Lonchura striata: one gene and its partners. The protein of the gene in region 2 purifies or fractionates together with the protein of the main gene of each other region. This does not show direct contact. Links are inferred from orthologs where the notes say so. Each region holds a gene or a part of one and is shown on either strand. Other genes may lie near its edges. The genes, in order: HSF2, BAG2, CEP170 and DNAJB1.

Region 1 (7,440 bases), about 25 Mb from region 2:
AAGATTCCCCTTCTGGAATGCCAATTGTGAGGGAAGACTGATATTTTATTTAATCTACAGGCTTTAACTAAAATAGAAGGATGAGCTCTTTGTTCTTCAATGACTGCACTCCATTTAACTACAGGGCAACTAACTGGCAGAATGCAAATTATCTACTTAAAAATGGTTTAGGTTTTGTCTACACATCTGCAATACTCTCACCCTGTAGTTAATAAAAAGTCTTATCTTCAATAAATGTCAACACTTTTCCTGCATCTTTTTAAAAAGTCTTTTAATTTTAATGAGTCACTTCTCTTATCCTCAAATGGCAGCAGCTCTCTGATCCTAAGAAGCTTAAAGAACCATATGAAGGTTCTTGCCCAAAGGTGGGTGTCCTTGTTTCAGATAGGATAGAATTATTTTTTTTTTCTTGGTAGCTGGTAGAGTGCTAAGTTTTGGATTCAGTGCTAGAATAATGTTAATAATAAGTTGATGTTTTAGTTGTTGCTGAGCAGTGCTTACCCTAAGTCCAGGTCTTCTCAGCCTCCCAAGCACTGCCAGCAAACAGGTGCACAAGAAGTTGGGAAGGTGCATGGCCAGGACAGCTGACCCAAACTGGGCAAAGGGATATTCCACACCAGAGAACATCATGCCCAATATATAAACTGGGGGAGTTATCCAGCAGGAAGGCCAACTGCTGGTTTTGGATGGGCTGGGTACAGGCCTGCAGGTGGTAACCAACTGAACTGGGCATTTGTTTTTCTTGTGTTTCAGTTCTGTTTTATTACTGTTATCATATACTTCACTTCATTTCAGTTCTAAATGGTTATCTCAACCCACAAGTTTTACTTTCTCTACCAGGGTGTGGGGGAGTGAGCAAGTGGCCGAGATGTACTTCAACTCAGTTGCCAGCGGGGGTTAAACCACAACAGCTTGCTCCAGCAAGTCAGCAGGGAGCATCAGAAACAGGATGTTACAAATGACTCTCCACTGGATGACTTAAGCCTTAACACTGAGATGAAGGTAGGGAGATTAAAACTTCCAGTAATGCCTACCTATCTCCTGCTGAGAATCAATCAGTGGAAGAAAAAGAAGAAGCAAAAGAACAGCAAGAACAAACTATTTTAGCCAAAGTGAAATTCACAAAGTGAAGGTGTTGAACTAGGTGACACTAGAGTGACCTGGGACACCAACAGACAACTCCTCACTTTATCATCACTTTGACATTGTCCAGGCCTAGCACATAAGAATCTGGGAAACACATCCACGAGCTCCTGTTGCCCTGACAGTCATTTACAGGAAAGCCGTACAGATGCTAAGCCTGTAAACTCCACTACACAGCTAAATATGATTGTCAGCTCCTAGTGCCCATGGCTACAGCATGCAGCAGTCTTCCAAGTGCTTCACTTGGTACTCCTCACCCATATCACAAGTAATCCCAATACCTACCCCTACAAGAGCTGCTGGTTGCTAATAATATCAACTGTGATAGCTGGACCTTCCCCCCTAGAAACAGCCTTGCAGAATCTCAAACAATTTACTGTTTCAATTAAAAAAAACTAACACAAGGATACCTAACAGGTATCTGTATGTTTACCTGAGATAAACATAAGCAATGGATTTGGGAATTCTCCATTAAAACCATAGGGCAGCAAAAACAGCATTTTTAAATGTAGACAATACCAATTTTCATAGAGCCTTTAGTATCTCTCTTCCAAAAAAACCCCAAAAAACAAACAAACAAAAAAAGCAGAGAAAAAAGAAGCCAAATAAATTCCAAAAACACCACAAAAAAATTCCACCCTAAAACAAAACAAAACGAAAAAAAAGAAAGAAAAGCTGCCGTAATCTACTGAAGCCTCCTGCTTCCCTCTTTGGGAAGTTTTGGCTGAAGGTACAGGTAAATAATTTTCAGTAACATACTTACGACATTTCATTATTTCTAGAGCATTTAAAATAAGGAGCATTCAGCTGAGTTTAACTCAATGGTACTTAAAGAAATTGATACGATTTGAGAACAAGATTTTATTGAAAGCAGCACGTAAGGAAAAAATGAAGCAGCAATTATCAAAATATGTGCTTAGGTTTTAGCACAACCGTCAAGGATGCTCACTGTAGCAACTTGCCAGTCCTTCCTTGCACTGTAAGAAGACTGGTGCCCAATTCGAATACTCGACTTCCCCCGTGGCCCATCCCCTTCCCGCCACCCCAGCAGGTGGACACCCAGCCCGGGAAGCCCCGGCCGTCTCCCACGTGGCCGCCCCCCACTGCCCCTGCGGGATCCGGGCCCGCGGGAGCACGCAGCAAACGCCACCAGGCCTGAGCACGCCGCTCTTCCCACCTGGCGCAGCTCTCCCGGAGCCCCGTTCCTGGCGCACCCACCACCCCGCGATGGGAAATCTTCCCCGCACGCCAAAACCCTCCGGCTGCCGGGCCCCTTCCCACCCCCATGGCCGCCCGAGCCTGCTCAGTCAGAGCCGCCACACAAACACCCCCACCCTCCGCAGGGGTGCTGGGACGCGCCCCAGGGCGGGCACGGCAGCTCCTACTCCACGCTTAAAACAAGGGAGAGGCTGAGGGCTGGAGCGAGCCGGCCTCTGCCGAGCAGCTCAGCACAGCTCAGCGCGGCCCGAGCCAAGCCAGCCATGTGGCCGTGCCCTGATGCTGCGTCCTCCGCAGGCGCACGCCGAGGTCCCCGCAGGCCCCGATGGCGCCGGTGATGGCGGGGGCTCCGGGGCTGCGCCACACGCGGGCGGGGGGGAGGGCGGGGGGGAGAGCGGCCGACCTGGCTCCAGGTGATGAGCTGGTTGCTGGGGGTCTCGCCCAGCAGAGCCCACAGCTTGCTGAGGAAGGCCGGGACCCCCGGGCTGGCGAAGGGAGGCGACGGCTGCAGGGGAGGCTGCGGGGCCGGCGCCGGTTGCGGCGGCAGCAGCGGCTGCTGCTGTTGCTGCTTCATTGTCGCTCGGGAGCCGCCGGGGCCTCTGTCCGGGAGGGAGCGCAACCAGACCGGCCTGGCCCCGCCCCTCACCCCCCACCCCGCATGCGCGGCGGCCCCGCAGCGCGCGCGCGTGCCGGCCCCGCCCCTCCCCCCCGCGCCTTACATAACGTCCCCACGTGCGCCGCCCTCACGTGTCACAACAGCGCCGGCACGGGGGGGGACGGAGCCAATAGGGGCGCGCCTGGCGGCGGGGGCGGGGCCGCGTCGCGCGGGCGCACGTTCCCCGCGGGGCAGCGGCGCGTGGCGGGCGCGGCTGAGGGAGCGCTCCGCTCCCGCTCCTTTCCCGTGTCCCAGGGAAAGAAAGGCGGGCGAGTGCCCGGGACGGGCCTTCTGAGGCCGTGTCCCAGCCTAGCGTTTCCGAGCCGTCCGGGAGAGCGCTGAATAATAGCTAGCCAGCTCAAAAACATGAGTACGCAGGGCGTATGCACAACAGGAGCACCCAAGCCAGCTCCCCCCAAAAGCATCTCAGGCAGGCCCTAAGCAGACCCCTTTGCAAGGCAACTGGTGTTTAGAATTCAGACTTACCAGCTACTGAAACTGAAAAATGAAACTGAGTATCTCAAGGAAAACAGCCTAGTGAATGGTGAAATGCACTTTTTTTTTTTTGTTTTTGTTTTTAATCCTCTCACAAGTATTTTGCAAAACTTAATCACATATTACTTTTTAAGAATTTGTTCTATGGAACTAAAATTACTATTTTCACAACAAACCTCCATTGACGAGTAGTGTTGCTAATATTTGTTGAAATGTCTCAAGTCTCAAAGAATCGCAGTGAGTTTAATCTGCTGCAATTTACAGTGAAAACGAATCACAATGGCACAGGGAAGATAACAGAACCTTTAGCCCGTGTAGCCGACAGGAAAATTAAGTTCAATATTTGTTTCAAGCTGTATATCACACAAGGTCCCTTTTGTCACATCATTAGTAGCTTACCGGAGCCTATAACAAACCCTTTGAGTGACATTCACTGGATCATTCCTGAAAGAAGTCACGGTTGCTAAGTTCATGGCTCAGCTTTTCAGGGTCAATATTTGGAATTAAAAAACTCATATAAATGCCTTTTGAATTTAAACACAAATTTACAGTAATTTTCCAAGTAATTTTTCATCCTGACGTTCATGTGCAGCAAGCTTTTACTGGATTCCATTAATCTACATAGAAATGCTAGAAAAGCAGAGAGAAGAATATGATTGTGACTTAATCTGGACTCAGTATTGCTCTGCATCTTATATTTCTTGTTTACAACTTCAATTTGAAAATAGAAGTTGATTTGCAGAATTGTTGGACAGTGTTTCAAAAGGCAAACCCCTATATTTATGTCTTTGGCTGAGACAGAAGTGGAACCATGTACTTATTTTTTTCATTTCCTTAGTAGACATCACCATGGTGAAAAAGACTGCTCTGTAAGTTGATTTCCAATGTCTTACAGTTGAGGCAAATCTTTAAAGCTTTCTTTTTAAAGCTCAGTTTAGGAAAAAGGTTTTCTTCTGAAGCCTTAAGCTTAAGAATTGGAAGTTATTTATTAATACTTAACATAAAGTGTTAGCAATGTACAACTCAAATAAGGCTTCTATTAGGTTTTTATTTCATTGTCTTACAAGGTCTGAGCACAAGGTAATTGCTTGTCCCTGTTGATAAAGCTTTTGATTACATTGTTTTACAATCCAGTCATTGCAAAACTCATCTGGGGCTATTTGACTTCCCAGTATCTTCATAAGCAGTGCTGTAATCTTTTTCCACACTGCAGTAAAATTTTCCTCCACTTAGCTTGCAGAAATCTGGTAATTATCAGCTCTGAGACAGGTCAAGCTATTTAAATCTTCCATGATGCAGTTCTCACCCTCCCCTCTCCAGAAAAACATAACACTTTAAAACTCTTAATGTATTGTGAAATGTTGGGAATTCAGATCTCTTCCCATATCCCTGAACTAACCCCTCAAGCCCCACTAGATTCTGTTCCTCCTGAGCCTCATTCTCCCTCCCTTGGGCCCATAGTTCCCTCAAATGTCAGAGTTCCAACTAAGACCTTGTTGCTTGGGAACTAAGGGAGCACTGCCAACAGGAAACATCTGATTTCCAATGTTTTTTTTTTCTACAGCTTTCACGGAGAGGCTACATAGTTAGCGGCACCTCAAATCTGGGCAGGAGGCCAAAGAATAAAGTTAGATAGCTGTTCATATCACTGTTTGTTTTGACATCCCATATGCCTAAAAATTGCATCCGTCACTGGTCTTATGCTCGAGCAGCAGGCAGCCCCATAGCACTCCCATACTCTTATAGGAGCTTTGGCCACTGATAGTCTGGTTTTGATGTGCTTTAAGAATAATAATTTGGGATGGGGACCCTGTTCCACAGTACATTTACAAGTAGGGGTCATAAAGCAGCCCCCATGTAACAATATTTTTCTGATATGAAATTAACCTATCTTCTTTGCCTTCCTATTTTCTTCCCCTACAATGGGATATGCAGAAGGGGACAGCAGCCCTGCTTGTGCTGTTGGTCTGGCTTTTTAAGTCTGAAGTGCATTTAACTCTGAACTGTGAACTCCAGTTGCAACAGACCCTGAGTTAAGCCTGAGTCAACTCCCCAAGGGATAGCAGTCTGCAGATTTTCCTTAAGACAAAGAGCATGATGCAAAACAAGAGCCTGAAAATGACAGGAGAGACAAAGGCAGGGTGACAGATTTCAAGGCAATACCTTCCTCTTTTTGCAACCACAATTTGTCCTGCCTGAAAGGCCAGCATATGAAGGTTATCTTTATTGATTCATCTGTATCGATCCATATGAAAGCAAGAGACAAATCAGACACTGAACTTGCACAAATGTTACCCCTGGAACAAGCACAGGCAGCCAGCCACAAGTAGGCCATCCTGGATCAAGCACTGCAGAGCACCTCATAGCCAAATTTGATGCAAGACTTCCAAGCCTTCCACCTTTAAAAAATTATTATACCATTTAAATAACTGAAAGTGTTCCTGGAAGTCCCAGCTCTGCACATACTAGGATCTCCTTGAATCAAAGGTGGCCCTAAGAGGCCTAGCTTTAAATCAATTCTCTTTGAACCAAGGATAGTATGAGATATCTGTATTTATGATGAAAACAGCTAGAGTAGGCAAGGTAGATGACATTTCAGAGAGCTTCTATAGAGATTAATATTCTGGTTTAGGGCAAATTTAGAAGGAAACCTCCAAATGGGGTCTGTCCAGAAAGCAAACCCAAGCAGCCCCTCCCCGATGTGGTTCGGGAAAAGATTTCCTTGGAGAAAAGTGGAAAAAACTATTTATTTAACAAACAAAGTATGAACAAGCATAATAAATAAATAACATTAAACAATAAAACCTCTTGTTGTTCTGAAGAGATGGCAAATTCAGAAAGTACTTGTGGGCTCACTTTGCTCAGTTTCTCATCAGTCCCTCCTGCACTGGAAAATGCTGCGTCCCAGGTCCTGATGGGCAACTCTTGTGAACTACTGGTGCTCTTCTGGGTTTTCAGTCCAGAGCAGGACTGATCAGTTCCAAGAAAAAGAAAAAAACATAATCCAGGAAACTTCAGTGCCTCAGCTAGCTAAAAAAAAAAAACTAAATAAAAAGTAAAGGAGAGCTTTCTCCCGCTGCAGACAACACAGTCCAGGAGAGAAAAACACTGAAGGTGTGTTTTGAAAACAACCACCTCAGACATTCCACTGCTCTTCATTCTTCCCCCACTTCACTCTCAGATCTAGTTTTAAAAGTGCAATACTTATTTCTGGGTTAAACAGACAAATGGGGATACAATTCAGCATCGTAAAGTCACCCAAGGACAATTAATCTTCCAAAGTAATATCCATTCAGTTAGTGTTATGCCATCCTTGTGCATCTGATTCAAGTACCACACAGTGTTTTAGATGGCTGAGTGATTCATTTGCCTTCTTATTCTCTACAGGAAGAAGAGATGGCACAGGCAGCACACCAGATATTTAATAGACAGTGATAAAACAAAGGCTGGCATCAAGTTTTAAAATTAAGTTTTGGTAAGTTTTGTTCCCCTCAGTATATTTAAAATTAAGCTATGATAACTGAAACCAACTACTATTCATGATCAGTATTTTTTCTTTCTTGAAAGGAAAATTCAGACCTACATTCATATTGACTATAAACCCTCCAAGACAGCTTGCTTTGCAAATGGCACAGAAGTGGTATCCATTTCTTGTTTGCTTATGTGTGAGGAATACTTGAAACAGACCTTCCCAATTAGACAAGATCTTCCATACACCTTGAAAATGCTCAGTGTTTCTTAAAAGACTGCTTTCTTGTAATATGAGGAAAAGTTACAGACTTGGAAAAGTTATATTTTAAACTATATAATTTAATATATATATATATATATATTTTAAACTCAACTAAACAAAGCTATAGCATTGTTTAGTTGAGCTAGCATTCAAGATAAACTTAGTGCCTTTAAAAAAATCCAGATTTAAAATGCTT
Region 2 (7,191 bases):
CCTGTAGAAATTCTTAGTTCAAGGGGTTTGGTGCTCAGTAGTAACAATCTGGGTCAAATAATATGGCCTGAGATAATTCTAAAAGTGGATGTAAACAAGTCAGAAAATTTATGGCAGATGGCAAGAACATGCCAAGTGTGTACTTGAACAGCAAAGCTCTGCATGCATAGAAATTTAATGTAAAGTTCCTTTTGTAAATCTGCAAATTGGCTTTCACTGGCTGCAACATCCTAATTTCTGGTGGCCCTTCCCTTTGCTTTTCAGCTCAGAGCTCCACTGTCAATAGACTGAGCATCTGCAGCTGTACAGAATGCACTGCCTCATTTAATCGTCGACTGCTCAAGTGAGAATGAATTGCTGCATGCCCCAAAATGGTCATAGCAGCTCTCAGATTGCCCCTGAGACAGAGGACTTAATTCAGACTTCTAACCAGCCTGGGACCTCAGGGCTTGCCTACACAGTAAAAACTGCAGCATGTAGAGGCAAACCCAGGCTAGTTTTAATAGCATTGGTAAGAGCAGCAGTAGAGACACAGCAGCACAGGTTCAGCAGGTGTGAAGTGAGGGGGCAGCCTACTGTGATAGCAGATGTGTTTTGATGGAAAACAGCCTGAAAAGTCAGGTTGGCCCATCTTTATTGCTATTGTTGCAGTGCCGGAGAGGCTGCAGGCTGGTTTTGGTTGGCTGGCCTGAGCCATGGATGCATCCTTCAGCCATGTCTGGGAACTGCTGCTTCCAGCAGAATACCTGCTCACAAGGAAGGTTCTTAACCACCAAATTGTTTGGGTTGGAAGAAACCTTAAAATCATCTAGTTCCAGCCTGCTGTGGAGAGGGACACCTCCCAGTAGACCAGTTTGGTCAGAGCCTCTTTCATCCTGGCCTTGAACACTTTCAGGAATGAAGCATCCACAGCTTCTCTGGACAACCTGTTCCCGTGCCTCGCCACCCTCACAGAAGAGAATTTCATCCTAGTATCTAACGTAAACTTCCCCTCTTTCAGCTTGAAAATACTAAATTCCTGTAGATGAAGACAGGAAAATAATCCTGCATGGCATTTCTTGGGTGTGGACTTTCTCTTTGATCCTCTTCCATGACAGCTCATGTGTAAGTATTAGGGTATGTGACAAGGCATATACCAGGATTTGAAATAAGGCAAAGCTGGAACTAAGGTGCTGTTTAGTAGTGTTACAGTTTGCAGTGCTTTTGGTGTAGGTCATCTCCCTCGCTCTGGGACTTTTACATCAGATGTCTGAGACCTGGAAAAGTTGCTCTTTCTGCTGTCTCAAGGGACTTTGTGCATGTGAATGAGACTTCTGTTCATTGCTCTATTTTGTAATCAGCACCCATTCTTTACAATGCTGTAGTTTAAACAAGAGACAGCCAATGTTTTCACTGTTGTGATGGGAATGCAGGAACAATGGGATACCCACTCTCTTCTTATGTTTTTGCTGGTGCCCATAGTGAGAGCAGGTCTGTGCAGTCCTTCACATGACCACAGATGTGCAGACATGGGAGGAGACAGGGATGTAGCATGGCTTCACCAGCAGCCCTGAACATGCTTCACCAGTGATGGCAAGGAGGAGAATTAAATCCTACCTTTTGTCCTTAAAATTCCTCCAACTCAGCTGTGAATCACATTCCTTCCTGCAGGGATGCACTCCAATCTTTCTAGACCAACCAGTTATTATTTTGGAAAATTGATGCCAATTGTCCCTTTACATACCTCAGCAAAAATAGAGGGGGTGGGGGCAACTTACTCTAGAGAGCAGGAAAAGCTGTTTTCAAGGTCCTTCCAAGCCTCTGAAAGGGAAAATATCCCAGTTTTTACAGGCAGTAATTTCAAGACTTGTCCTGGAAGACTATTTTTACTTTTAAATTTGCATTTTGTTTCCAAAGTTTTGCTATTCCTCCTTCTTGTGTAATGTCCTTTTGTTGTTAAAGAGGGTAAGTAACGTGTGATACATTTGGACACTTAGAGCTGTTCTGCGCCTCTGATTCAGCTGTTGTGACTTCTACCTGTGTGGAATTAAACCCCTACTTACGTGTGGAGGAAAAAAGTGTTCAGAGCTGCTCAGCTACTTTGATTTCTGCTTTTTAAACCCAATCTAATTGAAGCTTAATAAATTGGCATGGGATGAATAGAAGGATCCTAGGAAATAAATGGTAGCAAACTATGTGTCATGGCTACAAATGGGTTCTGTTTGGGGTGGGAAATGGTTTTTAATTATCTTCTATAGAGACTGTAGAGAGATGGATGGAACAATTGTTCAAATGAAGCTATTTCCATGAGCTCACAGGCAACGAGCCTTGCTTATCCAACCATGTAAAACAAAGAAAACTCAGGCAATTAATTTAACGAGAGTACTCAGGACATGATATCATTCTGAATGGATGAGCCTGAGAAAACAGCTATTTTGAATCACAGCAGGATAAGCATACAAAACAGTGTCCCTGTGCAACAAAATCCCCCTTAGCTGGGTGCCAAGAATTGGTCTGTTAGAGCCATGGGGTATTTGCCCAAACCTCGTCTTTTGGGATAAGCAAATTCCTTTTTAAATACTCACAGTAGTGGTAACTAAAACTTATGTGTGACTTGAATTGCTGGTGCTTGTGAGAAAGAAGGAACCGTTTCATACAGGCAAATTAAATACGTTCCTGGGACAAGTCATTACTAGATGTAGATCAACTACCTTGGCTACCATTAAATAGATATATCTTTTCTCTCTGGCATAGAAAGAGAATACAAACCACTTTTATTTCCAGTAAGCTTTTTTTTGTAGAATCTTACAATAACAGCTGGTGAAACAGCTGCTTTTCTGCAAGTAGTAGGGGGCTCTTGCAGTTGGCAGGAGAAAGATGCACTATAAGTAGCAGTATAGCAGTATCCAAAATACCTTTTTTTTTTTGTTGTTGTTGTTTTTTTTTTAGGAATTTTGTTTAGGTTCTGCTTGCACTAAGGGCTGTCTCTGGTTTGACTTCTCTCTCATGTCAAGCTTCTGGATTTTTAAAGCCCTTTATTTTTCCTCCTCCCTTTTTTTGCACTTTCCACTGTTTTCAGTTTTGTAGTTTACTGTTTAATTAGCCTTAAATAAAAATAACCTTTGGGTAGTTGTGGGTTTCTTGTTTTCTTTAATGAAAGAGCAAACCAATGAACCAGCCACACAGACCAGTTCTGGAACACAAAGCCTCATACCAATAGCTCCCATCTCCCTCACAAAGCTAATACAGATATCGAAAGCATCACTTTTCCTCCCTTCCCGGCTGGTCCAGGTTTTGTTGCTTTTGCCACAAAGGGGAGTGGAGACTGGAGCAGGACAGCCCAGGCCTGTGCCCCAGGCGGTGCCAGCGAGGAGCAGGGCAGCAGAGGCTGCCGTGTGTCGGCCAGGGGCCGGAGCGCTGCGCGGCAGGTGCGGTGACACTGCGGTGACACTGCAGTAACCCTGCGGTGATACTGCGGTGACCGTGCGGTGACCCTGCGGTGACACCGCAGTAACCCTGCGGTGACACTGCGGTGACCCTGCGGTGACACTGCGGTGACCCTGCGGTGACCCTGCGGTGCCGGGCACTGCCGGGCACTGCCGGGCACGCTCGGCTGCGCGGCCTCAGCCCCGGGCGCGGCCCCGCCGGCCCCGTGGCTGTGTGCGAGGGGGCAGAGGCGGGAGACAGGGAGCTCCTGGGGCAGCGAACCCAGCCAGGGGGCTGGAGAATCTCTCGTGCCAGGAATGCCCGAGGGAGCTGGGTCTGTTCAGCCTCGAGAAGGGGTGACTGAGAGGGGCCCTCATCAATGTGACTGCGTACCCAAAGGACGGGTGTCAAGAAGACGGAGCAGCCTCTTCTCCGTGGTGCCAAGTGATAGGACAAGAGACGTGGGCAGAAACTGATGCACGGGAAGGGAAGTTCCACCTGAATAGGAACAACTTGTTTACTGTCGAGGCGATCGAGCAGCACAGATTGCCCAGAGAGGTTGTGGAGTGTCCCTCGCTCGAGAGGGGGCAGGGGCCGGCCCGGCTGACCCAGCGCGGTCCCTCCAGCCCGGCCCGCCCGGCGGTTCCGCTGCCCCGGGGCGGGGCGGGGCGGGGCGGGGCGGCCCCGCCGCGCTGCGTGAGGCGCTGCCCGCGGGCCCGGCGCGGGGGCGGGGTGGCCGCGGGGCCGGCGGCGGGGCGGCTCCTTCTTTGGCCATGAGCGAGGTGCCGGCATTCGGCCGCCGCCGCCGCCTGCGGGACGCGGGGAGGGAGCGGCCGCGGCGAGGCTCCGCCGGCGGCAGCGGCGGGTGGGATGGCCCAGGCCCGGATCAGCGCCAAGGCCAGCGAGGGGGCGCCGCAGCAGCCGCAGCCGCAGCAGCAGTCGGGCGGGCAGCTCCGGGGCCGCTTCTACCGCTCCACCTCCATGGCCGACCGCTCCAGCCGCCTGCTCGAGAACCTGGACCAGCTGGAGCTCAGGTGGGGCCCGGCCGGGCGCTGGGGGGCCGGGAGCCGCTGGCCCTCCCCCGGCTGGGGGGCGGTGCGAGGCTTCTGGAGGGGACCCGGGGGAAAAGGCTCTCCTTCATGGGGGACAAAGTTTAAAAATGGGAGCTACTGCTCAAAGGTGAGTTAGCGTGGCCTGGCAATACACGAAAATAGGAATAGCTATAAGAATGTATGAAAGTGGACGTTTTTCAGAGAAAGCGCGAAGGGCTGTTTGGGATTTGTTAACCCTTCAGGGCGCGGGGAGCCTTTAGACGGGGCTGCGCTCTGGAGCTGTGACACGGCGGGGACGAGCCCGCGCTGCATCCTGACTGCCGTCCCACCCTGTCCCCCTGTCCCGCACCTGCGGGCAGGTGTTTTATAGGGAGATGCAGGAAATCCGAGGATAAAACATGGTGTCATTCAGGCTCTCGGAGACTTTGGCAAGCCTTTAAGCTGCAGTGCTGTATGCTGGCGTGTGAGGCTTCTTGTCTTCCAAACCTCCCTTCGCACTTACTGGTTCAGCTGTGGATGTTCTTGTAGTGTTTGTGTCTGCCTCCTCTCTGAGGTGTATTAAAAAGTGTCACTATAAAATGTGAACAGCATTGCATTCTGCAGCTGAGGCGTGTTTTTCCAAAGTTATTGTAAATACTATGTGAATTTCATAATTGTGCCAAGACACGTCCTAACTTTTTCTGCTACTTGACGTTCCCTAAATAATACCATTTTACTTTTTTCCCAGTTTGGCTTCATGAGAGATGATACCTTGCCTTTAATCATCTTCCCTGTCCTCTCAGCTCTGCTAAATTACATAGTGTCCTTTCTGAGGTGGATGGATGTGCAGAATGCCACTGATTCACCTCCTCTGGTACTGTTTCAACACACCCTTTCCTTCATTACAGCTGCATATTGATCAGCAGCTTTCATAGAGCCACCCAGAATGTTTCTAGGACTTTCCTGTAATTAAAAGAGCTCTGTGGGATGCAGGAGTTTTATTTCCCCTTTCTGCCTGCATTACTTTGCATTATTCAGGAGTGGACTCGATGTGCTGTTATATTAGCCTTTCACTTAGCTTGATTAAATCTCCTTGAAGTCCTTTGCAGACTTCTCTGAATTTGACTAAACAAAATCACTGTCTGCAAACAAGTCTCACTGCTTACATCCAGGTCTAGGCGTATGATGAATATATAATCAAAAAATTAGCATGAGAATATGCAAAAATGTGTTTTAGATTTGCTGAGTGACTCTGAAACAAAGCAGACAGTTTGGTTAGCCAGCAATTAAACCCTCAATTAAACTTCCCAGTTTGCTGTGGTTCTTTCAGACAGCCATAATTCTAAATGTGGAATAGTAATGAGAAAAAAAAAAAAGTCTAATTTGATAAAAGTCACTCAAGTCTTACAGTTTTTTCCTATTCACAACTAATCAACATGCTTCATTTCAAATTTATTTGAATGACAGGAGGAAAAACTTCCAAACTTTCTCCTTTTCCAGCTTGTTTGGTTTTGCTATAGACCCTCAAGATGTTGCTTGTTAATACAACCAGTGAAAATTTGTCAAACTGAACTACAGCCTTTAATTAAAACCCTCAACAATCCTCAGTTCTCAAGTTGCTTAAGGTCAGCTGAACTCTGAAGCAAGCCTCATCCCTCTGGAAGTCACAGGATCACAGAATGGTTTGGGTTAGGAGGGACCTTAAAGGTCCCCTAGTTCCAACCTCCTGACATGGGCAGGGGCACCTTTCAGTAGACCAGGTGGCTCAAAGCCACATCCGGCCTGGCTTTCAACACCTCCAAGTGTCCACAACCTCTCTGGGAAACCTGTTCCAGTGTCTCACCATCCTCATAGTGAAGAATTTCTTCCTAATACCTAATCTAAGTCTACCTTCCTTCAGTTTAAAGGCATTGTAAACTGCTCCAGTTTGAACAGCCTTCCTTTTCCTCCCTTTCTTTCCACTGTGAGAGCTCATTTTCCAACAGTAATGGGGTATTTTTGTACCTCCCTGATAGGTGTTTGCTGAGTGCATTTCTTCTGTATGGAAAGTGAGCAGGGAAGGGGAGTTAATTTGGGAGGGAGTGCCCGAGGCAGAGGTGGTGAGCCGGGCAGGTGGCACGTTTGCCCCTTGTAAGGGCTTGGACCTTCGTGTGGCTGTGACTGCCAAGATATCTCAGGAGCAGCTGGAAGCCAGACCAGAAGCTCTGTTTATGAGTCACTGCGTTCTGTTGGTTGTGTAAAGTGAAAACACAGTTTTAGGTGTGATGATACACGAGGTAAGTAAGATTCTTACTGGGTATTTTTTATCTTCATTTTTTGTACTTCTTGTCTTGTTGTTTGGATCAACCCTGTTCCGCCACCATTCATTTCAGTGTTCACAGGACGGCTTACCTGGGAGTGGACACTCAGCTGAAGAAGCTGAGGATGCCAGGATGAAACCCCCTGTTTTGTCTTCTTCCAGTGTGCCTGATTAGCTCTATTTCAGGAAAAAAAGCTGCTCCATTCTCGGATGTTTCTTATTTCCTTTGAAAGCTTATCTGGACCTCCAGCACGTGGGTTTTAATAGTGGGCTGTTTAAGTCAGTCATTAGTTTAAAGGACACAGTTATTGCAGCTGTCCTAAGAAAGCAGGTGTCAAGTTTCTCATCTGGAAACAAAAGCACAGCCTGGTCCACCTGTTTCTCAGGGGAATGCTCTGCTCATGTAAATGGTATGTAGCAAAAAAAGGCATTGCTCAGATAATTGCTCACAAACAG
Region 3 (7,930 bases), about 58 Mb from region 2:
TATTTCCTACTGGAACAGCTGACAATATAATTTAATTTGGACTGATGTGGATTGAAACTTCAAAAAAAAAACTTTACTATTAAGCCCTTTGGTTTTCAGTGTTTAAAGGATCTGAGATAATTATGAAAAAATGACAAGCTAGCACCCAAATTTGATGGATCAAACTCAATAAATTAAAAAAAAAAAAATCAGTGTAAAAACAATTTGCCATTGAAGTCAAAACAGGAAAAAAACCCAGAAGGCGCTGAACTTGTTTAGCATTGCCCAAACAAGAGATGTTTTCTCAGGCACTGCACAGCACTCTTTCTAAAGAGTACTCCTTTAAATGAAAGCACCAAAGCTACCTCATTCATGGACTTGGAAATGCCATAGAAAATACTCTGGGAGCAAAAGAATCAATCATCCAAAACAACAGAATTGCCTGAAAGACATGGAAAATAACTCCAGCTGCTAGAATCATTAAGCAGCATACACTGAAGAAAACAAACGGCAATTCCATGAAAAAGTTATCATAAGTCTGTCACCCAAACCTAACAGTCCAGTTCTAATAATGTCTACAAGAACATGAAATTACTGGCTATAAATTCAACAAACAAGCATCACTTGCTGATATCTCATGGTTCCCAATCAGCAAACAGCCTTAGAAAATTAGAGAAGGAATCACACTGATTCTTTATGTCTTAAAAAAACGCAAAGCAAACCACTGTAAAATTTTTGTGAAACAGTAACTGACAAAACAGATAGACACACTAGTGAAAGCAAAAAGATCATAGCCATTTTAAAAAAAATTCATGTCCAAAATGAGATCAACTTTCTTCCATTGACAGCTAAAAATCTAAAATATTATACCATATATCTTTCAGTCAAGTAACTGCTGAAAAATACTGAAACTGAGAATTTGGTTATAGGGTTTTTTGTGTTTAGAACATCTTGGAACTTACTTTACTTCCCATTCTGACATCCAGCTTTTCATTCCATTCTTTATTGGCTGCCAAACGCAGGTATGCTACCAGGAAAGTAGCACATTATATGGGAGTTTTGAGACTAAAAATATCCTGTCTATCACTACCTGTACTGCTAGGATTTTACATGCAGCAATGAGCAAGACCAGCCTGTTCATCAGTCAGGCCTCAAAAGATCCCGATATGTGAAATGCACAGCTGTTCCAAAGTAATAAATCCTTCTGATTTGGTTTCTTGTGTCACCCTGATTCTTAAGATTTTCTAAAGCCTTCTGAGTTTACATTCTGTTAGAAAACTTTCCCACACATTTTCTATAAACAACATATTGTTTTGCATTCCTTCGTGGGAGTGGAGGAAGTTGATGTACTGGTGGTTTGTTCAATGTCTTTGGAGAGGTGGCCCATTCACTCTCCAATCCACTGTCACCTTTGGAAAAGTATAAAAGTTGGAGTCAGAAAAATAAACCCTCTTCTTTTTTACCTTGTCATCGTAGTGGCTCGTGTTGTGCTTTCTTGTGTCCTATAGCGACATTCTTGGTCTCTTTTTATATGAGAAATAGGTAGTTTTCAGCATAACTTTTACCAAGCTATTATATTTAAAAGCACTGTTACAGCAGTCATTGTTACAAGTTCCTACACCAGCCCTTTCTGCAGAGCATAAAGCATTTGCCTAAGTTCTAGAAACCCTCATATACGAAAACCTCATTGCCAAGTTCCTTGTGGCAGATTCTCCACCTTTAAAAGAACATTTTATGTTCGGAAGAATACCTAGAAACACCTGCCAAACAAAAATAAAAGCCTAAGCAAAAAATCATTAAGAATGTATTTCTAAGCTGCTTCAGTATGACAGCTAATTTGTAGTGATAGAAACTGGGCCACATAAGATGGCTTTGACTTCCCATCTCTCCTGTTTTATTTTTGGAATAACAAAGAACAGCCACAAAATGAAACTTTATTCCAAAAAGTCTTATCTTGTCATCTGTTTCTCTTAGGGTTGGTATCTCCATTCTCTGAAATTATGTAGTAGGACACTGCACTCAGCAATGCAGTGGAATACAGAATGTAATTTTCACAATACCCTAAGACAGACTTGAGATAGACAAGTGTATCAGGCTCAGTACCTAAAAAGGATTGCTTGCCCCACCTTTGTTCCTGCACTTATAATGGCTCAGGTCCAACAGTGAGTGAGCGTTCTTCACTCAAGAGGCAGAAAACTCAACATAAAAGTATAAGCTAATAGTTCTCTGTTCAAGAAAGAACTGGACTCTAAACAGCCTTCACAATTTACTGCTGTTAGGAGAAAAGGGGAAAGTCACAGGAAGGCATCATGCTCTTTTCTTGGCAGTGGTATAGTAGAAGGGCCATTGGACATTTACACTATACCTGTCAATTTTCAGTTATTAACACGAATACAGCAACACACCACTTATTATCATTTAGAAAATACTTCTACTCCCTTGAGAAGACTTTTTATTAGAAATATAATCTCCTAAAGTTTTTAAGGTTCATTTGAAATGGTCTCAATTATATGAAAGTTTATGCAGTAACCTAATAACCCCAACTGTACAAATACCACCCTCTTGAGTTAGAGTTACACATAGCATTAAAGACTTTCATTATACAAGGTCAGGAAAAACTACATTATAGAACCTTTGTTATTTATCAAAGCCTATCTTTTAAGCTCTAAGACCAGGTAGGTCTTAATCAGGATTTTTTGGTCCAGCTTTCTGCCCTCTGGCAATCAGACTCAGTTTACTGAACACTCAGGCTCCCCATCTTCTGAGGGATTTCCCTTTGCAACAAAGGACATTGCCCTGAAATAATCAGCTGCTCTTTGAGAACTTAAGCACCCTTCCATCAAACTGAGTAAGGCAGTAAAGTGATTCTTCTGGTATCCTGCATGGGTGGTGAAAAGCCGTTGCTATGAGCTCGGCCTGCATCCAGATAATGTCAAGCATTACATTATTTCAAAAGCATCAAATAATGCCCAAAGCATGCCACGTAAAATTGCAGAACCTGGATGACAGGGTCATCCCAATGGGGACAAAAATCTCAAGTTGTATAACTATATAAGAGAAATAGGTAAAGCATTAGATTTGACAGCTTTGAGAGTAACGATGATGTTTATCCTACAGTGAATTCCTAACACTGCTAGTAATGATGTGGAAAATGCTGTACAGCTTAAAGGAGTTAAAATTGCACATCACTGAGAAATAAAGAGGTTCTTTGAGAAACACCACAAAACTTGAGTTATATCGCCCTGTATTGGGGCTGTTTGTGCATCACCATATCGATTTCTACATGAGAGGCACCCCGAGATGCATGAGATCAAAACTACCTTGGCATTGTATGGAAAGAAAATTCTTGTGTCCAAGAATGTAAAGGGGAAAGGCTCACCAGAAATTCAGGTTATGAATTTATTTAACACATATAATGGATCCAGTGTAAGGAGATCCAGTCAGAAAAAAAAATGAAAATAAGTTGTATGAAGAGAATACATGCATCCAATGTATCCATTAGATACAGTCAGCTCTAATAGGCTCACACACAGTTAAACAACCCTGATATTAGTCATTCTAACTGTTCTGCGATAACTGTTAACTGCAAGTGTCAAGTAGCATTACCATGTCCATTTCATCTACAGGAGAAGTAGATAGAAATTATTCCTTAAAGTTCTATCTTGTGGAACAGAAGAGATCTATCGCTAATATAAGGAACTGATGCTCCTTTGAGATGGAAGTAAAAAAAGATTTGCTGAGAATCAAGTAGCTATTTGAAAATGTTTCTATTGTTTCTTTCTTCTTTTTTGCAATGTTGTTTTTTATGGCACAGGAAACATCCCAACATGCCATATTGGGGTACTGTGCTCAGAACACAACTTTTCACACCAGTAGGTTCACATACCCACAAACTATCCACTGGCTTTCTTCAGAATTTGGACATTTGCCTTTGCCCAGTCAGTGACAGTGTGAAGGCTGGTAAGCCTAGGTGTCACGGCTGACAGATTCAGGTGCTCTCTGTCAGGCTATACACCACGCTTCTTGGACAAAGTGTCAGGTATGAAAACACTCAATGATATGGGAAACAACCACTCTCATTAGAGTCCATTTGTACACTCATCTTTACCACGAAAACCGCACCCGAAGCAGCAGCGGTCCTGCCCGAGGAGCGTTACGGTGACACGAGCGCGTGTCACAGCGCCTGTGATCGGGGGTGGGGACAACCAGCCCAACTTCCCCGCTGCGCGCTCGTCCCAGCCCGGCCCGGGCGCTCCTCGGTCCCGGGCGGCGGCTGGGGCAGCCCGGCCTCGCCCCGCGCCCGTGCCGCTCACCTCGGAGGCGCCTCTGGTATCGCTCCAGGGACTCCTCCAGGGCGCGCTCCCCGCGGGGCGCCCGCATCAGGACGCCGCTGGCTGCCGGGCAGCAGCCGGCGCTGTCTCCCAGCACCGGGGGCTCCCCGCGGGGAGGCTGCGGGACAGTAGTTCCACCCGTTCTACCTTCCCACGTTGAGCTCTCGGAGGAGACATCTGCGGGGGTCCCTCCGGCTCCTGGTGGCCAACCGTTGCCGTCGGCCGCCGCAGCTGAAACTAGCAACGCCAGGAATCCGTCGCGCTTCCCGATGGCGGGAATGCCTCCGCCAGGACTACAAGTCCCGGCATGCACCGCGCCGCCGGCGGCAGAGTTCCCGCCCACCGCCCACCACCGGCAACCGGGAAAGGGTGGTCGCCGCGAGCCGTATCCCCTTTGTTGTGGATCGCGGTCGCAGTCGCGCCTGCGCACAGCACAGCCCGCCCGCCTACGCCCTCAGGCCTGCAGCGAGCTCAGCACCGGTCCCGGCACGGCAGGGGCGGATCGGGGCGGGAAGCGCCGTTTACCTCCCGCCATCGCCCGCGCGGGGAGCGCCCGCAGCTCGGGGAACGCTATTGTCTGCGGGCCGCGCAGGCGCAGCGCGGCCCCGCCGGCCGCTCGGCCCCGGCGCGTGCGCAGTGCGGCGCGGTGCCGCGCCGCTGTGCCGTTAGCCGCCGCTATGTGCAGGGAATAACGCCGGGGCCGTTGCCAGAGGGACACCGAGCGCTCCGCCCTCGCTTCGCATCCCGCGGGATGCCGGCTCGCTGAGCACCCGCTAGCGACGGCCCCTCCCCGGCGCGCGAGCCTCCTCGGAGGGGTGAGTGAGGATGATGCTGCCGCCGCCGCCCTGCGGGTCGGGCGGGAGCCGCGGCGGGGAGAGGGGCTACGGTCGCGCCGCGGTCCGTCCGGTGCCTATTGTGTCAGGAGGTACCGCCCGCCGGGACCCGGGCGGGCTGCGGCCGGCGGAGGGGGAGGTAACACGGTCTGTGCGCAGCTCGCTCCCCCTCCCCTGTCCCCGCCCGGCCCGCAGGTTACTCCGCGCCCCCGCCTCCCTTTCCCCTCGTCAGCGCGGGGGGATCGCCGGTGGCGGGGGGTCATCGCCTCGGGCGGGACGCGGACGGCATCCCACGTCTGGCATTTGGTGCTGCTGGATCCCGCTGCCCGCGTCTCCCTGCCCCTTTCCGCCCGCGGGGCGCCTCGGCACACCCACCCACCCAGCCCCGGGGCTGCGCAGCCCCCCCTCCCGCGGGTGGATTTCCGCGATTCCAGCGGAGACGTTTCCAGAGGTTTAATTTTTTTTGGGGGGTGACCTTCTTTCGCTCCCTCCCCGGGGCTGGAGGCAGCGTGTTTCTCCGGATTTAAAAATCAGTGACGTCCTTCGTCTGGGATGCGGCGTTTCCCTTCGTCTCCTTGAAATAATGTCTTCTGTGAAAGGATGATGGAGAAAAACTGTGGGTTTCACCTTTTCTCATATTGCGTATTTCCACCATACGAGTCGGGTCCCCTGCTTCCGAAAATATCCTCCCGAAGGCGTGAGCTTTTCCTTTTTCGAGGCGCTTCCCGGGAAAAACATGAAATCGAGGTTTTTGTCCCAGTGGCGAGGAGCAGCCCGGGCCCACTTTGTGTGCCCGCCGTGGAGACGAACGGGTTACTGCGCTAACAAAAACCCGATGGCGATTTTCGAGCAGAAAGCGGCGTCGCAGCGGAGGAAGCGGGCGGGAGGGGCGGGGACGCTCCGCGGGCAGCGGGGCCGTCCGCGCCGGGAGCCGGGCGGGCACGGCGAGCGCTGCTCCCGGCGCGGGCGGCCGCGTTCTGAGCGCTTTTTCAGCATAAGCCGACAATTAGCCCACCAATGCTCGCGGCTTGGTGGGAAAAAAAGAGACGTAGATGGTATGCTGATGAGTTGTGTGTACATAAGGATTGCTTTATTGTGACAAGGGATTAGATAGCATCCGCTGATCTGCACTTGGAGGAAATTATTTTCTTCCCTGTGAAAGCAAAGGTACTCATAAAATATTTAAGTACTTTGAAAGAATAAAGCCTGCTCTGGCGCTGCAATGATCATCTTTTCTCCTTTGGAATGCCATTCAAGGCTTTGTGACAGCGTTCTTGGCCCTGGGCTTGTGTCTGCAAAATGATATGTGGGATGGGACAGTTTTTGTAAACTGAACGGAGACGACTGCATATGCTGTGATTTCCTATGATTAATTTCCTCTGGGAATTACTTTATGTCCAGATGCTGAGAAGTCTGTCTTGCTGAACTCTACTGATATGGAAGCTCCTCAACTTTAAATTTGATTTAACGGGGAAAAAGTTAAACAGAAACACTGCAAAGAATCTCCCTTCACTCTTAGATTATCATTTTTTTTAAACACTTTTTCACCTTCATGTAAGTGTTCTGTTTTTGTTGGCTTTTTTTTTCCTTTGTCTGGTGGAGGTTAGGAAGGCTGGCTGAATAGAGATAGTAGTGCAGCTCGGATACAAAGAATTTGTCAAAATCTCAAGAATCTTGAAGTTACTTGAAATGGATCAGATTAAAATGCTTTCTTTAATTCTTTTGAAGACAAACCATCTGATTTATAAGTTGTTACTGTTATAAATGAGAATTTATTCAGCCAGATTAAAAATAAAAATAATTTTATAAGTGGTCGAATTCTATCTAGCCAGCCACAGAAAAAGACAGTGCTGAGCCCAGGGTTGGCCCTGGGTGTGCAACAAGGAGTCAGCCTCAGCAGAGGTTTTTCCCTATGCCCACACACCTCCATCCTGGCACAAGCGGTTTTTATAGGGAAAATTCTGCCTGAGGCCAAGATTTCAGCAATCAGTCTTTTCTTCTATTCAGAGTCCATAGGTTAATAAGATTTTACTTTTTTGGTGATGAGGAGGAGTAATTCAGTGTCCAGAGTAGGTGAATCCCTGATAAGATTTACGGGAAGGCTGTATTCACATGTATCTGTCTGAGGATTTCCATGATATCCATCTCGGGTCGCTTATGCGATGATCAGTACCCGATGATCAACACCTGGAGTCCCGATGGTCAGCACCTGGAGTCCAGACATGGCCCATCTCCTGGCGAGCCACGTCCTTTTACTTGTAAATCAGTTTCCAATATACACCCAGTCTCGCCTGCAAAGGGGGGGGGGGACGGGACAGGGGGACTAATACAAACAGGCATAATCTAACAAGTATCCAATATTACATATTTCATACAAGGAATGGTGCGAATTATATTTACTACACATAACATTACCAAACTTTGGCATGACAGTGCATTGTTTGGGGAGTGGTTTTGACATATGGCTATTTCCCATATCTAGTCTAACTCTTGAAAAAAAAAAAAAAAGGTTATTTCTATATTGACTTTCATCTGCTGTAATGGACTTGACAAGCAAAATTTCTTAAAAATTCTGTTGATAACATACAAGCCAGAAAAGCTCCAGCTTATGAAAATGAACTGGAAAAGTCTATGTTCGGTTGTAGTTGTTCCTCAAATGCCTGGAATGAAACCCAAGGCATGAGTAGTTGCAAAAATTGATTTTGCTGTACAGTTTCCAGTTCTTGGCATTGCAGGGAGAAGGTATACCATAGTATCTTCTTGATTCTCTTAACAGGGCAGTTTCCA
Region 4 (7,147 bases), on a different chromosome or scaffold from region 2:
ATCCCCCCATGTCCCCATGTCCCCTCCTGTCCCAATGTCCCCCCATGTCCCCAATATCCCCCCATGTCCCCATGTCCCCCTGTCCCCCCATGTCCCCAATATCCCCGATGTCCCCATGTCCTCCTGTCCCCCCATGTCCCCAATATCCCCCCATGTCCCCCTGTCCCCCGCTGTCCCCTCACCTTGTCGAGGAAGCAGAGCTTCTCCCGGCTGCGGGCGTCCAGGATCTCCACCTCGAAGAAGAGCACGGCCGATTTCTTGGGCCGCTTGCCGGGGGCCACCGCCGGCCACAGCGCCGGGCCACCCTCGGGTGCCACCGCCACCTCCATGCCACCGAAACCCGAGCGGCCCCGCCAGCGCTAAATATAACCCGCCCCCCCTTGGTGGCCCCAAGGTGGCCCGAGGTGGCCCCGAGGTGGCCATGAGGTGGCCCTGGAATTGGCTCCGAGGTGGCCCTGGAGGTGGCCCCGGGCTGGCCCTGGAATTGGCTCTGAGGTGGCCCTGGAAATGGCCACGAGGTGGCTCCGAGGTGGCCCCGGGCTGGCCCTGTGGTGGCCCTGGAGGTGGCCCCGGGCAGGCCCCGTGGTGGTCCCGGGGTGGCCCTGGAGGTGGCCCCGTGGTGGCCCCGAGGTGGCCCTGGAGGTGGCCCCGGGGTGGTCCTGGAGGTGGCCCTGGAGGTGGCCCCGGGCTGGCCCTGGAATTGGCTCTGAGGTGGCCCTGGAAATGGCCACGAGGTGGCTCCGAGGTGGCCCCGGAGGTGGTCCCGGGCTGGCCCTGTGGTGGCCCTGGAGGTGGCCCCGGGCAGGCCCCGTGGTGGTCCCAGGGTGGCCCTGGAAGTGGCCCCGTGGTGGCCCCGGGGTGGCCCTGGAGGTGGCCCCGTGGTGGCCCTGGAGGTGGCCCTGGAGGTGGCCCCGTGGTGGTCCCGAGGTGGCCCTGAGGTGGCCCTGGAGGTGGCCATGGGGTGGCCCTGGAGGTGGCCCCAAGGTGTCCTTGGAGGTGGCCCTGGGGTAGCCCTGGAGATGGCCCTGGAGGTGGCCCCGGGGTGTCCCTGGAGGTGGCCTCGTGGTGGCCCCAAGGCGGCCCTGGAGGTGGCTCCGAGGTGACCCCGGGGTGGCCCTGGAGGTGACCCCGGGGTGGCCCTGGAGGAGCCACCGGAGCGGTGACGGTGGCAGCGCCGGTGGCGCTCAGTGAGGGGGGACAGCGGGACCCGTCCCGGGGTCACCGCGGCCCCTCCGGGCTCTGCACCTGCCCGGGACCCTCCGGGACCTTCCAGAACCTTCCGGGACCCTCCGGGACCTTCCGGGACCCTCCGGGACCACCGGGAGTCCCGGGAGCCCAAGCCACGCCCCCTTAATAGCCACGCCCCCTTGACAAACGCCACGCCCTCCATAGCCCCGCCCATAGCCAGCTCGCCCTCCCGCCGCGCATGCGCACATCACGACGCCCACCGCACATGCGCGCAGCGCGTCCCGGGCGCCCCGGGGTGGAACGCGCGGGTTCCGCGGCGCCGCCGCGCTGCCGCCGTGCGGGGCCGGCGGCGGCGGCGCTGGGGGCCGCTCCGGTGGCGGTGTCCGGGCCGGGCCGCGGGCGGCGCGGCCGCCTCACCTCGTAGTGCTTCATGGCCGCTGCGCTCCGCCGCTCCCGCCGCCCCCGCCGCCCCCACGTGACCCGCCCCTCACGCCGGCGGGGGGGCGGGGCCCGCGGCTCGGCCAATCGGCGGCGCTCGCGTGGCTGGGCGCGGCCAATCAGGAGGCAGCGGCCCCGCCCGCGCGCTCGCCCCTTCCCGCCTCGGCGGTTGCCGGGGCGACGCGAACGCCCGAGGGGGACTCCGCCAATGGGAGGCGGGGGCGGGGCGTGGAGTGACGGCCGCGGCAGCCAATGGGATCGCGGAGGGGGTGGGGCTGAGGGTGGAGTGATGGCCTGCTCGGCCAATGGGCTCGCGGGAGGGGCGGGGAGTGGGAGGGGCAAGCAGCGCATGGGGGCGGGTCTAGAGGGGTCTGAGGGGTCTGGGGGGTCATGGGGGGTCTGGGGGGTCATGGGGGGTCAGGGTGGCCATGGGGAATGGAGGGGTCAGAGGGGCTGGGGGGGTCTCAGGGACTGGGGGGCTGCGGGGTTTGGGGGGGTCCGAGAGGTTTGGCGGGGTCCGAGAGGTTTTGGGGGGTCTGGGGGGCCATGGGGAGGGGAAGGGTCACAGGGACTGGGGGGATCTGGGAGATCTGAGAGGTTTGGGGGGGCTGGGAGGCCTGAAGGGTCTGGGGGGCCATGGGGGTTCTGGGGGGGTCATGGGGACTGGGGGTTCACAGGGACTGGGGGGCTGCGGGGCTTGGGGGGGTCCGAGAGGTTTGGGGGGGTCTGGGGGGGTCTCAGGGACTGGGGGGGTCATGGGGACTGGGGGTTCACAGGGACTGGGGGGCTGCGGGGCTTGGGGGGGTCCGAGAGGTTTGGGGTGGTCTGGGGGGGTCTCAGGAACTGGGGGGGTCTCAGGGACTGGGGGGTCCGAGGGAACTGGGGGGGCTGCGGGTTTTGGGGGATCTGAGGGGTCTGGGGGGTTCCAGGGGTCCGAAGGGTCACAGGGGGGCTGGGGGAGCTGGGGTGGTCGTGGCAGGCTGGGGGGTCCCGAGGACACGCGGGGACACCGTGGGGACACCGTGGGGACACCGTGGGGACACCGTGGGGACACCATGGGGACACTCTGGGACACGGTGACCGCGGGGCCACGGGGACAACGGCGTGGAGGGACCTGTCCCTCCCTGTGTCCCCGTGTGCCCGTGTCCCTGTCCCCAGTGTCCCCAATGTCCCCAATGTCCCCAATGTCCCCATGTCCTCATATCCTCCCCGTTCCCATCCCCGTTCCCGTTCCCGTCCCGTTCCCGTCCCGGTCCCTCCCGGCACCTCCGCCGGTCCCTCCCCGGCTCCCGCCCCGTTCCCTCTCCCGGTTCCTCCGCCGATCTCTCCCCGCTCCCTCTCCCGCCCCTTTCCCGACCCCTCCTCGTCCCCCCCGCTCCTTCCCCGGTCCCGTCTCCGGTCCAGCCCCTCCTCGACCCATCCCCGGTCCTTCCTCCGGTTCACTTCCATTCCCGGTCCATTCCCGGTCCAGCTCTGTTCTCCTCCATCCCTCGGTCCTTCCCCGGTCCATTCCCGGTCCAGCCCTCTCCTGCTCCATCCCTCGGTCCTTCCCCGGTCCATTCCTGGTCCAGCCCTCGGTCTCTCCATCCCTCGGTCCTTCCCCGGTCTCTCCCCGGTCCATTCGCGGTCCCTCCCCGGTCCAGCCCTCGGACTCTCCATCCCTCGGTCCTTCCCTGGTCCCTCCCCGCTCCCTCCCCGGTCCATTCCCGGTCTATTCCCGGTCCAGCTCTCTCGCACTCCATCCCTCGGTCCATTCCCGTTCCATTCCCGCTCCATCCCTCGGTCCATTCCCGTTCCATTCCCGCTCCATCCCTCGGTCCATTCCCGTTCCATTCCCGCTCCATCCCTCGGTCCATTCCCGGTCCCAACCCCATCCCCATCCATTCCTCGGTCTCTCCCCGGTCTACCCCCGGTCCCTCCCCATCCATCCCCGTCCCTCCCGTTCCCTCCCTGTTCCTCCCCGGTCCCACCTGGTCCCTCCCCGTCCCTCCCCGGTCCCACCTGGTCCCTCCCCGTCCCTCCCCATCCCTCCCCGGTCCCTCCCCATCCCTCCCCGTCCCTCCTGGTCCCTCCCCGCTCCATTTCCATCCCTCCCCGTTCCCTCCCCGTCCCTCCCGGTCCCTCCCCGTCCGTCCCCATCCCTCCCCATCCCTCCCCCATCCCTCCCGTTCCCTCCCCATCCCTCCCCCATCCCTCCCCATCCCTCCCCATCCCTCCCGTTCCCTCCCCGTCCCTCCCGGTCCCTCCCCGGTCCCACCTGGTCCCTCCCGGTCCCTCCCCATCCCTCCCCCATCCCTCCCGGTCCCTCCCCATCCCTCCCCCATCCCTCCCGTTCCCACCTGGTCCCTCCCCGTCCCTCCCCATCCCTCCCGGTCCCTCCCGTTCCCTCCCCATCCCTCCCCCATCCCTCCCCGGTCCCACCTGGTCCCTCCCCGTCCCTCCCCATCCCTCCCCGGTCCCACCTGGTCCCTCCCGGTCCCTCCCCATCCCTCCCCCATCCCTCCCCGTTCCCTCCCGGTCCCTCCCCGCCCCCCCGCCCCTCGGGGCTCCCTCGCCGTGCCCGTCCCGCGGAGTCTCTCGCCGTGCCCGGTGCCAGAGCAGCGGGGCCGGCCATGGGCAAGGATTATTACCGCACGCTGGGGCTGTCCCGGGGCGCCTCCGCCGCCGACATCCGCCGCGCCTACCGGCGGCAGGCGCTGCGCTGCCACCCCGACAAGGACCGCTCGCCCGGCGCCGAGCAGCGCTTCAAGGAGGTGGCCGAGGCCTACGACGTGCTCAGCGACCCCAAAAAACGGGAGATCTTCGACAAGTACGGGGAGGAGGGTGAGCGGCGGCACCGGCGGGACGGGGGCGGCCGGGACGGGGGGCACGGCAGGGGCGGGGAGGGGAGCGGGGCTCGGGGGGTCCGGGACCGGAGGGGATTTGGGGGGTCTGGGGAGGTCCGGGCCGGGGGGCTGGGGGACACCGGAGGGGATTTGGGGGGTCGGAGGGTCGGGGGGGGTCCGGACCGGGGGGTTGGGGGACACCGGAGGGGATTTGGGGGGTCAGGGGGTCGGGGGGTCCGGGCACGGGAAGGGATTTGGGGGGTCGGAGGGTCGGGGGAGGTCCCGGCCAGGGGGTTGGGGGACACCGGAGGGGATTTGGGGGGTCAGGGGGTCGGGGGGTCCGGGCACGGGAGGGAATTTGGGGGGTCAGAGGGTCGGCGGGGGTTCGGGTCGGGGGGCTGGGGGACATGGGAGGGGATTTGGGGGATCGGAAAGGGACAGGTGATGGGGACAGGTGAGGGGGACAGGTGACAAGGACAGGTGACAAGGACAGGTAAGGGGGACAGGTGAGGGGGACAGGTGAGGGGGACAGGTGAGGGGACAGGTGAGGGGACAGGTGAGGGGACAGGTGCCAGGGCCAGGTGCCAGGGCCGGGCCCGTGGGTCGGGGGGCGCGGGCATGGCCAGGGCAGGTGTGACACGCACCGGGCGGGCGGGGGGCTCCGGGGCCGGTATCCCACGGGGGTCTCCGGGGCCGGTATCCCCCGGGGTCTCCGGGCTCGGTGTATCCTACGGGGGGCTCGGGGCTCGGTGTCCCCGAGGTCTCCGGGGCCGGTATCCCCCGGGGTCTCCGGGCTCAGTATCCCCCGGGGTCTCCGGGCTCGGTGTCCCCGGGGTCTCCGGGCTCGGTGTCCCCGGGGTCTCTGGGCTCGGTGTCCCCGGGGTCTCCGGGCTCGGTGTCCCACGGGGGTCTCCGGGCTCGGTGTCCCCGGGGTCTCCGGGCTCGGTGTCCCCGGGGTCTCCGGGCTCGGTGTCCCCGGGGTCTCCGGGCTCGGTGTATCCCACGGGGGGGGCTCCGGGCTCGGTGTCCCACGGGGGGCTCCTGGCTCGGTGTATCCCACGGGGGTATCCGGGCTCGGTGTCCCACGGGGGGCTCCGGGCTTGGTGTCCCCGGGATCTCCGGGCTCGGTATCCCCCGGGGTCTCCGGGCTCGGTGTCCCACGGGGGGCTCCGGGCTTGGTGTCCCCGGGATCTCCGGGCTCGGTATCCCCCGGGGTCTCCGGGCTCGGTGTATCCCGTGGGGGGGGCTCCGGGATCGGTGTATCCCACGGGGGTCTCCGGGCTCGGTGGATCCCCCGGGGGTCTCCGGGCTCGGTGTATCCCGTGGGGGGGGCTTCGGGCTCAGTATCCCCCGGGGGTCTCTGGGCTCGGTATCCCCCGGGGTCTCCGGGCTCGGTATCCCCCGGGGTCTCCAGGCTTGGTGTCCCCGGGGTCTCCGGGCTCGGTGTCCCACGGGGGACTCCGGGCTCGGTGTCCCACGGGGGGAGCTCCGGGGCTCGGTGTCCCCGGGGTCTCCGGGCTCGGTGTCCCCGGGGTCTCCAGGCTCGGTGTATCCCGTGGGGGTCTCCGGGCTCGGTATCCCCTGGGGTCTCCGGGCTCGGTATCCCCCGGGGTCTCCGGGCTCGGTGTCCCCGGGGTCTCCGGGCTCGGTGTCCCCGGGGTCTCCGGGCTCGGTGTCCCCGGGGTCTCCGGGCTCGGTGTCCCGCGTGGCGGCCCCGGCGCCGGGCCAGCCGCCCGGGGGTGGCCGCCGGGGCGCCGGGGCGTGCCGGGGGGAGCCGAGCCGGCCGGGCCTGTCGGAGCCCGTCCGGGACCCGTCAGCGGCGTCGGCGGCGCGGGCAGAACCGGTTCCCCCACGCCCTCGTCCGCTCCACGCCCTGCCCGCGGCTCACCCCGGGGTGGGGTCTGATGGGTGCCTGGGGTGCCTTCATCCATCCCTCACCACCCTCCAACCCATCACCCCCCAAAAACCTTCAGGGCTGAAAGGGGGAGCCCCGACCCCCGGACCGGGTGGCGGCACCGGTCCGACGTTCACCTACACCTTCCGCGGCGACCCGCACGCCATGTTCGCCGAGTTCTTCGACGGGCGCAACCCCTTCGACACCTTCTTCGCGCAACGCAACGGCGACGACGAGGATGGAGACGAGGCCTTCAGCACCTTCCACCTGGGCGGCTTCGGCAGCGTCAGCTTCCCGCGGGCCCGGGGCGCCGAGGGTCGCCGGCAGGACCCGCCGGTGCTCTACGAGCTGCGCGTCTCCTTGGAGGAGATCTACAGCGGTTGCACCAAGAAGATGAAGATCTCCCACAAGCGCCTGGGCCCCGACGGGAAGACGGTGAGGAACGAGGACAAGATCTTGACCATCGAGGTGAAGCGAGGGTGGAAGGAGGGCACCAAGATCACCTTCCCCAAAGAGGGCGACCAGACGGCCACCAACATCCCGGCCGACGTGGTGTTCGTGCTGAAGGACAAGCCGCACGACGTCTTCCGCCGCGACGGCTCCGACATCGTCTACCCGGCCAAGATCAGCCTGAGGCAGGTCGGTGGTGGTGGTGGTGGTGGTGGGATGGGGGTGGTGAGAGGTCAGGGTGGGTGGGCTTGGGGACATCAGGATGGGTGGGCATCATGGGGACATCACAGATGGATCGTCTTGGGGACATCAGGGATGGGTTGGGGACGTCAGGATGGGTTGGGGACATCAG

The links.
Region 1: the proteins of BAG2 (region 2) and HSF2 purify together in Homo sapiens (affinity purification with mass spectrometry; 4 studies listed by BioGRID and IntAct, with this or other methods). This does not show direct contact. The link is inferred for Lonchura striata from reciprocal best matches to the Homo sapiens genes BAG2 and HSF2.
Region 3: the proteins of BAG2 (region 2) and CEP170 purify together in Homo sapiens (affinity purification with mass spectrometry; 3 studies listed by BioGRID and IntAct, with this or other methods). This does not show direct contact. The link is inferred for Lonchura striata from reciprocal best matches to the Homo sapiens genes BAG2 and CEP170.
Region 4: the proteins of BAG2 (region 2) and DNAJB1 purify together in Homo sapiens (affinity purification with mass spectrometry; 4 studies listed by BioGRID and IntAct, with this or other methods). This does not show direct contact. The link is inferred for Lonchura striata from reciprocal best matches to the Homo sapiens genes BAG2 and DNAJB1.

Annotation. Positions count from the first base shown.
Region 1 is NC_134605.1:63,803,473-63,810,912, forward strand, and holds the start of HSF2 (heat shock factor protein 2), read right to left. Parts: upstream 3,005-7,440; 5' UTR 2,936-3,004; coding exon 2,765-2,935; intron 1-2,764. UniProt on the Homo sapiens protein: DNA-binding protein that specifically binds heat shock promoter elements (HSE) and activates transcription. In higher eukaryotes, HSF is unable to bind to the HSE unless the cells are heat shocked.
Region 2 is NC_134605.1:89,198,149-89,205,339, reverse strand, and holds the start of BAG2 (BAG family molecular chaperone regulator 2), read left to right. Parts: upstream 1-4,182; 5' UTR 4,183-4,275; coding exon 4,276-4,439; intron 4,440-7,191. UniProt on the Homo sapiens protein: Co-chaperone for HSP70 and HSC70 chaperone proteins. Acts as a nucleotide-exchange factor (NEF) promoting the release of ADP from the HSP70 and HSC70 proteins thereby triggering client/substrate protein release.
Region 3 is NC_134605.1:31,172,644-31,180,573, reverse strand, and holds the start of CEP170 (centrosomal protein of 170 kDa), read left to right. Parts: upstream 1-4,930; 5' UTR 4,931-5,125; intron 5,126-5,770; coding exon of another isoform or gene 5,771-5,798; exon of another isoform or gene 5,799-6,087; intron 6,088-7,930. Other genes in the region: SDCCAG8 (serologically defined colon cancer antigen 8), read right to left, coding at 4,293-4,359.
Region 4 is NC_134623.1:2,238,487-2,245,633, reverse strand, and holds the start of DNAJB1 (dnaJ homolog subfamily B member 1), read left to right. Parts: upstream 1-4,142; 5' UTR 4,143-4,238; coding exon 4,239-4,449; intron 4,450-6,424; coding exon 6,425-6,984; intron 6,985-7,147. Other genes in the region: TECR (very-long-chain enoyl-CoA reductase), read right to left, coding at 183-423. UniProt on the Homo sapiens protein: Interacts with HSP70 and can stimulate its ATPase activity. Stimulates the association between HSC70 and HIP. Negatively regulates heat shock-induced HSF1 transcriptional activity during the attenuation and recovery phase period of the heat shock response.